3 linked regions of the Drosophila melanogaster genome follow. The protein of the gene in region 2 interacts with the protein of the main gene of each other region in a pairwise test. Each region holds a gene or a part of one and is shown on either strand. Other genes may lie near its edges. The genes, in order: Grip128, Mzt1 and Grip91.

Region 1 (3,761 bases), on a different chromosome or scaffold from region 2:
GCTGCTGGCACAAAAGGCAACAAAAGCGGCGGATTCAATGAACTGGACAAATCAGGTTCGAAAGCCACCACTGAAATGAGCGGACAGGGCTACAGTCTTGGTGGCTCTAGCGCTATAGAACACATAGATCTTAGTGACACTGATGTTCCCGATTCCGCTAAACTTCGTCAAATTCGACTTCAGCGTTTTAGCGAAGATGCTTCCAACAAGCGACAGAATAAGAAAAAGAGGCGTCGTGTTTCCAGCGACAGCGAGATAATCAACTGGGAGTCCTACGATGATGACGTAATGGTCAGGGATGTTCATACGCCCATCGTCAACTTGGTCGAAAGCTCTAGTGATGAAGAGGAGATGAAGATGCCAGCTGGCAGAAAAACCATGACCAGTCAGGAGCGCACGCAGATCATCAAGCGCCAGGTAATGGAGGATGAGTTGACCTTGTGTGAGGACGATATCCTCTTAATTGATGATGAATACGACGATGAGGTGGCCGCAAATGAATCTTTAACAGCCGCCACGGAGCTAGCTGACCAATCCATTATAGATGATATTTTTGGAGAGGACACCCTGCTGAAGGAGTTCCAGCGTGAGAACGACGTGCAGCCCAGTTGCTCAAGCTACGCCAAAAGAATTGAGAACGACATCGTATCTTGTCCCATTTGCTTTGAGAAAATGAGGCGCACTGAGTTGTCCAATCACTTCGATGGCTGCGCCATTATGGTGCGCTTGGAACCGCCATCGTTTAAGCCTAAAAACCGCCGAACAACTGCTTCCTTAACCTCAAAGGACTCGTCGGGAGCTTCCACATCACGCCGCGCTAAATCGAAAGCAAAGTCATCAAAAGGAATTCTTCGCAGCTCCGGTTACACAGAAGGGGAGATCGACAAGCTCAACCTGAGCTCCTCTACCGACTCGTCTACTCTGCCGTCTAGCGAGGACGAACTTACTCCGCGTCAGCGCCGCCAGCGCAACCTCTTCAAAGAGACCGTAGGCTGCCCCAGATGTGGCCTGGAGATCATGCCTCTACACCTGAAGGTCCATGGATCCGTCTGCGCTGGTCGCAAGAAGCGCTAGGACAAAAAACATCTCATACAAAACATAATTCGTTAAATAGAAACTAATGTTAACTTTAATGTTATTAAAAACATGTTACAGGATTCGCCCAAAATATCGCACATTCTTTTTATCCAAATAGCGCGTGGCCAACGCCGGCCAGTGGACCACAAAGAGGTCCGCCAGCGGAAGGAGCAGGCGTCCGCTCAGCGACAGCGTCTCCACGCGGCAGAAGCTCTCCACGAACACTATTCTGGAGTGCGAGGGCAGGCGTCCGAGGAGGCGCCACAGATAGGCGGCATAGCAGAAGGGCACACAGGTGCCGGGTCCATTGCAGAGGATCAGTTGGGGGCGATCACGCCAGACCAGATAGCAGCTCCAGAGAAGCGCCCACAGGCTGGTGAAGATGCTGCTTAGCCAGGATTGGCCCACGTCGCGGCTGCGCGGCACCTTCACGAATTCCGCCCTCTGGGCAGCCTGCGGCAGGACCTGCCTGAACTGGCGCTCGGAGGTAGAGTCACTGTTGGCCAGGATCAGTCTAATTGGCTGGTACTTCTCCGTCTGTTCGATGTCTGTCTGTTGCAGCAGCGCCTGGGTCAGCCGGCACATCTCCGCCGTGTGGCCGCCAGAGCCCAGTATTACGTAGGTGGGGTGAGGCGAGCTGGTCGTCATATTGCCCTTCGAAAACTCAATTTAAATGACAACATTTACAATTGTTTACGTTTCAAGTCGATTGTCGATCATCCACGAACAGCTGTTTCCATTGCTATCGATAACTGAACCGATAATTATGCCGGTGTACCATTTACGTTGTTGTCATTGCTGAGGGCGCCATTTATAGAATTTATTGGATCTCAATCAGAAAGCGGAGCGAAATGGCTCCTCCCGCCCAGAAGGGTAACCTACGGAAGCGCTCCGGCAAGACCTCGACGGCAGTCAACTCCGCCATAAACGAGAACGTGCGAAAACTGGTCAGGAGCCTGTCGGAACCGGGGGTATGTTTTAAAACAGATGTTATCCCTATTCCAATTTAACCAACTTAAAACGCAGACGAGCCAGAAAAAGTTGCGCCAGATGGAGGATACGGCATTGAAGATAATCGCCAACCAACGCAGGACATGGGCTCCTACAACGACGGACATGGAGGTGAAACGCAACCTGGACGATCTGGCAGAGCGTTTTCGGGCGGAGGGCATGGCGTCTTTTGGTGAGAGCATCAAGGACTTGGCCATCAGGTATTTGGCTATGGACGAAAATCAACAGCAATTCAATCCTAACCCCGGATGGCAAATGCTCGAATTGCTGTTTCGCATAGCCGATAGGCCGGTGCAAAAGATCCGGCTGAACCGCGAGTTCATGGAACAGCGCCGTCTGTCCATAATTAATAGCATGGAGGAAGCCGAGCGACAGGCACAGATAGAGGAACAGGCGAAACTGGAGGCAGCCAAGAATACCTCCGAAACGGAGGTGGACTGGGCAGCGCTGCTGTCCGAGGATTTTCTGGATCCGCCAGAGGATGACAGCTCGGACAGCTTAAGTGTGAGCATCTAGAGAACCCCAAACATATGTCATCTGCTACACATATGTAGCCTGTTCTTTCCATAAAATCATTTGCAGCATACTAATACCTTTACCTTCTTTCCAAAAGGACTGGTCGGAGGAGTCGGACTGCGACTCGACAACTACTCTGAAGCCCGATGAAAATATTGGCGTCTCGCGAAGCCTCTTGGAAATGGCCAGGGTGTACGAGCAGGCCATGATGGCAGTCGTTCCGACTGGAAGTGTTAACAAAACGTATATGCCGCCCGAGCAGAGCGTGATCCGGAGTTACGACTTTCGGATAATGAAACCAACTGTTCTAAGCCTCAACAACTTAAAGGGCAGCCATCTGAGACGAAGCAAGCTGCTCCAGTTGCCGCCACCCCAACCGCCCCGACCATTCACCCAATATTGGCAAAGTGGCAACACAGATACGCTCTTCCGTAAAATCCATTCCCACTGGTGGTGCCAAGATGTCCATTTAAACGCCCTGCCCTCCAGTGCTAAGCCACTGGACAACTTTGCCGTCAGCTACGTGCAGTTTCTGAATCACAATGCCCGAGGCTTGTTGGCCCTGCCAGTGCCGAAAACCATCACGGAGCCCTGTCTGCTAAGGGAGATCCTCTTCATGTTTGTGCGTCCAGCGAGCTGTTGTTTCTTTGAATTCGACAAGGCCACGCGACGCATTACTGTGCGTGACAATGTCAGTATTTGTACGGTGACTGCGGTAAGAAAGTCGAATCGTTAATGTGTAACTCTATCTTTAGTCCGGCTTTTTTTTTTGTAGAGCACAATGCAAAATTTTCTGTTATTTGATGTGGTGCCTGCGCTGGAGGACATGATGGAACTGCGTCACATCATCGATACTCATACGTTGCATTTTCATGGCGTAAAGACAACATACACCGTGGAGTTCTTTGCATACGGCCTGAGAGATCTTGTCCAGCCCATTTGCCAGCTCCTCATCGCTTACGAGGATCGTGTCAATAAGGATCCAGCGAAAAATACACTGATCCGTTTTACGATTGAGTTCAGGGAACATTTTAGCCAGCTGCGCTTACTGCGAGAGCTGGCCGAAGATGTCATCCTGGATAAGGGACCTGCGCACATACGCAGTGCCTACTTGCTATCCAGACTGTATAAGCACACCTTGCTGCAGGTGCCGCACC
Region 2 (2,862 bases):
TTAATGCCCAGCGAACCTGTTGCAATGCGTTCCACAAGCTGAGATATGCGCCTGGGTGTGGAGAGATGAATAGTTATGAGGTTTTAGGTTTGGCTAGCCAATCTTGGTTTTCCAAAGGGTGCCTGACACTATATATTTAGTTTTATTTACTATCATAAAAGTACGAATGATCCACTTCTATCCCATGACCAACTCACGTATGTTCGCCCCATGCTATTCATCCCTTAGTCTTTTCACCCATTAAAACCATTTAGCATTCATTAAGCCCAATTTCTGCCCCATCCATGGTGCTCGGAATAATCAACAAATTAACTAAATTCCTAGTGGGCGCCTCCATCCCCAGAATAATCCAAATTCCGAAGTTGTGACATCAAGAAATGTCGAAGCGATTTCAAGTGCAGCCCCGGGGAATCTTGGGAACATATTCGAACATTCCCAATCGTCCGCAACCTGTTTGATCCGTTGGTTATCAAAGATATTTCCAAACATGTTCGAAGCGAACCTCATGATGAGGTTGCATGGAATCCATAAGATACAATCCACAAGCTGCTTTGCAGCTACAGCCCAGCGGAATTTCAATTCAGTTCGCGCTCAACTCACAGACACGATGGTCATTCAAACGCGTTAACGAATAATAATTTAAAATAATATTCAAATGATAAATACACTAAAATATGCACTAAACCACGCACTAAACCTAAATCCACGAACTGTACATATTTGTGTAAATAAATAAAGTATAAACAAACAGCGAAGAGAAACCTCGAAATACCAATAGACCGCTCAAGTTCCCATACATTGAGCTGGCCAATCGTGTTTGAAATTATTTGTTTGATCGATTTTGTGCGGTGTGAACACCTTGTAAAGGCATTTGCAAACCTATTGCCATAGCAAGCAAAGTGTGTTAAGCTGGGAAACACCCTCTGAAAAGTTTATGTACTACCCCCTTCGATCGGTCGAATAATAACTACCACAAGACAAGCATTAAGTTTGTGTTTACGTGCTGCTGACTAATTGCGTTTATATAGCCCGACTATATAAAACTGTACAATAAGACACGGCCAACTGTTTTAGTTTGAACGCCTCAGTTAAAGCTGCAAATTGCTTCGCTACCAAGTGAAGTTCTACATTTTCGCAGCGAAAACGTTTTTCAATTGATTTTCATTAAGTGAAAAAATCCCGAGATTGTCTTCTTTTCGGTTTCCAATTGATCGCAATTGCACCAGACCCATAAAACATATATACAAAGTGAGGCTGCATTCCAAGTAGAGCAAGACAGTAACCACTTCATCATCACAACATCAGATGCTGCATAATTAGCATTCGTTGCGTGGAGCGTCGAAAAAAAAAGCGGAAAATGTATCTCATACAGGTGAGGCCAAGCGATACAATGGATCCCCCTCTCACGATTAAGTGTTTGCTCTTACTTATCACATGCTGGCGGCACTGCACTTGCCGACTGAAAAAGATCTTCATTTAAGCGTTTTTTAATTGTCCGCCAGCTGAGATTTTCAGCATTTACAATTCTCCCCTCCGTTTGAAATGACTGTGAGAGGCACGCATCTCTGGCGTATATAATTTGTTTAATTTGTAGCTAATTTATCTTTCCACTTGGCAGCGGGCAGATCGGATGTCGAGCAAATGGGGGGGGGTTCACTGGAGCAGGTGCCTCATTACTGAACTTTGAACTTGAAACGGTGTTACGATTTACAGCTGGTAATGGATTACGGTTAGGCATCGGGGTTCGGGTTAGCAGAACAAATGTGCAGGCCTGAGATTATGAAGGGAACTCAAATATTTTGACATAACCATTAATCATTTGTAAATGATATACATTCAATCGATTGCTTTTGAGTTATCTGTCAGCATTGCCCTAAATTATTTAGAGATTTATTCCGAGTTTATATCAAAATTTGTGGAATAAGTATGTCAGAACAACCGACACAACATAAATCCGACGATCGCTTCACTATCCTGCAAACCTTATCGGATGTAGTGGACTCTGGTCTCAGCAAGGAAGCCCTTAAAATCTGCATCGAACTGGTGGACAATGGTGTCTGTGGTGGAGCACTAGCACATGTAATTCGAACCATTAGAGAGGAGATTCAAGATGATGAAGATAAGGAAAGTGATGATTCCGGAGAATCGGCTGCATCAACAGACTCAACTTTGTAGGAAATGAATATAAAATATATTTTTGTGTTTATATTTTGTGTTTGTTAAATTAAAAGTTCAACTTTCCGATGGTCTGTTTCCGAAATTTGTAAGACGCTGGTTCTTGGACATCCAATTGCATGATTTTTGAAGGCTTTCAAGAAGACTTCGCCACTCTATTTGCATTCATCAAACGCAAGCGACTGGCGTTTCTGAAAACGGTATATGTGCCGGCCATGATAATGAAAAGTTGCACCACTTTGGCTTGATAGTAGGTCTAAGATGATAATGTGTTTAGATAAAAGCTTATAGCAAACCGAAGCAACAAACGACTCACCTGTCTTATATAGATGGGCAATGGAATGTGCGATCGATGAACATGGTAATCCATTCCTCTGAACAGCCAATAGCCCGGCCACGCCCCCAAACTGGCGAAAAGAAATGGTGCTGCAGTACTGTAGGCCTTTTCAAAGGATTGCGAATGCACCAGTAAACGTATCTCCTCGCCAAGATTATGCATCCGAGGTGGGTGGGCTATTGCCTTGGCTGGTTCCTCCTCCTTTCGCTTAAGCCTCGTCGAGAACTTCTCCTTCAGATTGCCGTAATAATTTTGGATGCCCATCTTGGAAAGGTTTAATTTTCGACCGAAAGTTGTGTATTGTGTGTGTGTGTAAAGTTTGGACAGAAACATATATCAAGGCTTACCTG
Region 3 (3,761 bases), on a different chromosome or scaffold from region 2:
CGGAGGGCGACGGCGGCCACGTGAAGCCGACTACCTTCACCATGCGTGATTAAATCATAGGGACAACGGGGACGTTATATGCTGCACATGCTTATATGACCACTGCCCCCAGCCACCCAATGACAACTAGAGGAGCAACAAGAGAGAAGCAAACATTAAACAAAAACAAAAAAAAAAACACCAAATTACAAAAAAAAAAAACGAAAATTCATACGAACGCAAAGAATAAATACACCATTTATAAGAAACAAAAGACGATATGAAGAATTTGTCGCAAACTTGATAAAAAGAACTTATCCTCAGAATCCAGATAAGGACACAAACGAAAAACAAAAACAAGCAAAAAAAAAAAACCACAAAAAAACAAACAATCAATCGGAATTTGATCTCCGTTTAAACTATATTCATTATTATACTACATAAACACCTACAACGTATATCTTACCTACATGTAACTACCAGCGTAATTCGAAAGTATATTTTAAATATTTGTTAAAAAAGGAGATATGAGTGAAACGATCACAAAAAAAAGAAAAAGAAAGAAGAATCCAGCCAAAAGTATGCGGGGAACCACGAGCAGGAGCAACAGGAACAGAGATGGGTCGCTTTTTGTGGCTAGGATCTCACATAAAGGATGCGAGTGGGCGTACTTAGCACGACCGTCATTATGCCACATGAAATCAAAGCATATTATTTACATGAAACTGTTATAGGCACTCGTACACACACACTCACACACACCTCTTGGGTTGATTGAATTGATTGAATAACTTGTATTTGGAACGAACCAATGATGATGATTTATGCTATCAACGCAATCAAAACTCTGATGATTACACAAAACAAATTCCATTGACTTGAAATTGAGAAAAACATTTATAATATTCCTATGCGCATCGAAAACATGATTTTCCTTAATTTTTTTGTAACTTTGTGTGTCAGAAGACTAACATAATTAAGCTTAATTTTACTTTATACGTATATTTACCCACGGATTCATCTTATTCTGCTTGCTTTTTTTTTTTTTTGATTGAATAAAAGCTGCATTTTATATGATAAGAAAAAGACTTTGTTTTCGCCGCACTTATATTTTAAAATGTTCACACTTCATGAAGAAACAAAATTCGACATATTCTTAAAAATGCGCGCCCACACATCTATATATATTTAATATATATATCTACATATATATATATATAAACTAATGTGTTAAAAGCAGAAAATATACATCAAAAATAAAAATTAAAAACATATTTTAATGCGTTTTCAATGGGCAAATTCGTTTATTTAGTTGGAAATAATTTAGGATCGGGCCAACATTTATTTTGCTTTTTTTTCGTTACAGAAATCTCCGGATATTAAATGCAATTACGTATAGAAGTGAGTAAGGTAAACCGGATGAGAGTTTAACTATGTTCTAAATTAAATACCGGAGGTTTCTGTTTCAATACACATTATATACATTATATATTATTTCACATATTATTTCGCGTTCAAATCTGGTGGCGAAGAATCCTTCTTGGTCACCGGTTCACTCGGTGGTTCCAGCTTGATTTCTGGGGCTCAGGATTAGCCCACATATTGCTAGGTAGTTGGGTTGGCTGCTCCAGGTACTGCTCCACCGCATCCAGCTGCTGATGGCCCATTGCGACGAAGGAAAGTCCTTGTCCATTGGAATTCCAAGACATCCTTGCAGCACCTTAAGCTTTAACTCCCCCAGCAGTAGGTATCAAACACGACTTGTAGCCAATTACAGCCGTTGGTGTGCTCCATGGCGAAACGCAGTTGGTCAGTCTCATCTATGTCTTCAGCCTTTATATTAAATATTAACAATTTTAAAGTTTACCATTTTTGCTTACAAGCAATTGCAAATGCAAAACGGACAGTGTGACCAGGCGAGTGAGAGTTGGAAACGTTTGCGGCCCCAGAGCTGTCAGATGTTTGCAATGGAATTAACATAAAAGCTGAAAGCTGCACTTCTAAACATAACTGTTATACAAAAATGCTACATTCAGTAACATTCCGACAGAAATACATTTTTATAGTAAAATGTAGAACGATAATCAAAATGGCATAGCCTATTGCAGACGAGCGCTGCCAGATCGCTGCACCTTCGGCCAGTGTGTGCCCGCCAGCGGCTAGGACTTTGCCTTGTCAAGTTTCCCAGATTCGGTAACACTGCACTAAATAATTTTAATAAATTATTTGTATGAAGTACGCGCCAATTGGATGCGTTTTTGTCCTATCTGTCGAAGATTTCACGCATCCCGAACAATTGCCAGTGACTGCACGCCGTATTATAGCCAGGGAACAGCTGTGCGTTTGCCATTGGCCAACAGTTGTTGTCCACTTCGCAATTACCAAGCCATCCAAAATCGGCTGTTTAACGCGCGCTTGATTGGATATTTATGAACAATTCAGTGCACCAGGATGTCGCAGGACAGGATCGCCGGCATCGATGTGGCAACCAATTCCACTGATATATCGAATATCATTAACGAGATGATCATCTGCATCAAGGGCAAGCAGATGCCCGAAGTTCACGGTGAGATTTGGGAATGTGCAATCACTCACTGGCTGTCCAGGCACGCAAGGCATACGGACTGCTCTGGCATTCCGGGAAGAAGGCCTCCACCCTTGGGAATCGACCACGTGCTTCAGGATTATAGTTAATCCCAGAAACTCAACATATTTCATGGCATTTTCAAACAGAGAGTCCTTGAGATATGCAACTAACAATACATATACTTATATTTTTATAGTTCTAGATTAAATGTAGCAATAACCATTGCCAAAGTGTGTTGCATAGTCGTAAATGTTCAAAATTAATGTATATATCCCACAAACAATTCAAAGTATTCAAAGATATTTATCCGAAAGTAGATAGTTTTGAATTGTTTTTAAATGACTATTGATCACATATACTTAACTATAAAAGTATGAGCAAGTTTCTTAGATCCTCAAGGTCCTCAATACGTACAATTTCCAAATCAATGAATCTAAGGATACGTAATGCAACACATACACTAGACACTATACATAATTGTAGGCTTCATTGCCCTTGTTTTAATGCACTTTGTTCAATCTTTTGCAGAAAAAGCAATGGATCATTTAAGCAAAATGATTGCCGCCAATAGTCGGGTCATTCGGGACTCAAATATGTTGACTGAGCGCGAATGTGTCCAGAAGATAATGAAACTGCTGAGCGCCCGGAATAAGAAGGAGGAGGGCAAAACTGTGTCGGATCACTTCAATGAGCTGTACAGGAAACTCACGTTGACCAAGTGCGATCCGCACATGAGGCACTCGCTAATGACCCATCTACTTACGATGACCGACAATTCGGATGCCGAAAAGGCAGTTGCCAGCGAAGATCCACGTACTCAGTGCGATAATCTCACTCAGATTCTGGTCAGTCGTCTTAACTCAATAAGTTCCTCCATAGCCAGTCTGAATGAGATGGGAGTGGTCAACGGAAATGGAGTAGGAGCAGCAGCGGTAACAGGAGCAGCAGCGGTAACAGGAGCAGCAGCGGTAACAGGAGCAGCAGCGGTAACAGGAGCAGCAGCAAGCCACAGTTATGATGCCACACAGTCCAGCATCGGATTGAGAAAACAGTCCTTGCCCAACTACCTGGATGCAACAAAGATGTTGCCCGAGTCTCGACATGATATAGTGATGAGTGCCATTTACTCCTTCACCGGCGTTCAAGGGAAGTATTTGAAGAAGGATGTGGTAACGGGCCGTTTCAAGCTGGATCA

The links.
Region 1: the proteins of Mzt1 (region 2) and Grip128 interact in a two-hybrid assay, tested with the Drosophila melanogaster proteins (one study listed by BioGRID).
Region 3: the proteins of Mzt1 (region 2) and Grip91 interact in a two-hybrid assay, tested with the Drosophila melanogaster proteins (one study listed by BioGRID).

What each region holds. Positions count from the first base shown.
Region 1 is NC_004354.4:15,470,207-15,473,967, reverse strand, and holds the start of Grip128 (Grip128), read left to right. Parts: upstream 1-1,848; 5' UTR 1,849-1,928; coding exon 1,929-2,048; intron 2,049-2,103; coding exon 2,104-2,592; intron 2,593-2,701; coding exon 2,702-3,319; intron 3,320-3,379; coding exon 3,380-3,761. Other genes in the region: mh (maternal haploid), read left to right, coding at 1-1,074; Alg14 (ALG14, UDP-N-acetylglucosaminyltransferase subunit), read right to left, coding at 1,150-1,725.
Region 2 is NT_037436.4:2,387,410-2,390,271, forward strand, and holds Mzt1 (mitotic spindle organizing protein 1), read left to right. Parts: upstream 1-1,855; 5' UTR 1,856-1,926; coding exon 1,927-2,175; 3' UTR 2,176-2,241; downstream 2,242-2,862. Other genes in the region: Svil (supervillin), read left to right, coding at 1,358-1,372; CG32299 (uncharacterized protein), read right to left, coding at 2,312-2,431, 2,492-2,776.
Region 3 is NC_004354.4:13,743,068-13,746,828, reverse strand, and holds the start of Grip91 (Gamma-tubulin ring protein 91), read left to right. Parts: upstream 1-2,145; 5' UTR 2,146-2,430; coding exon 2,431-2,545; intron 2,546-3,094; coding exon 3,095-3,761. Other genes in the region: Pdcd4 (programmed cell death 4), read left to right, coding at 1-53.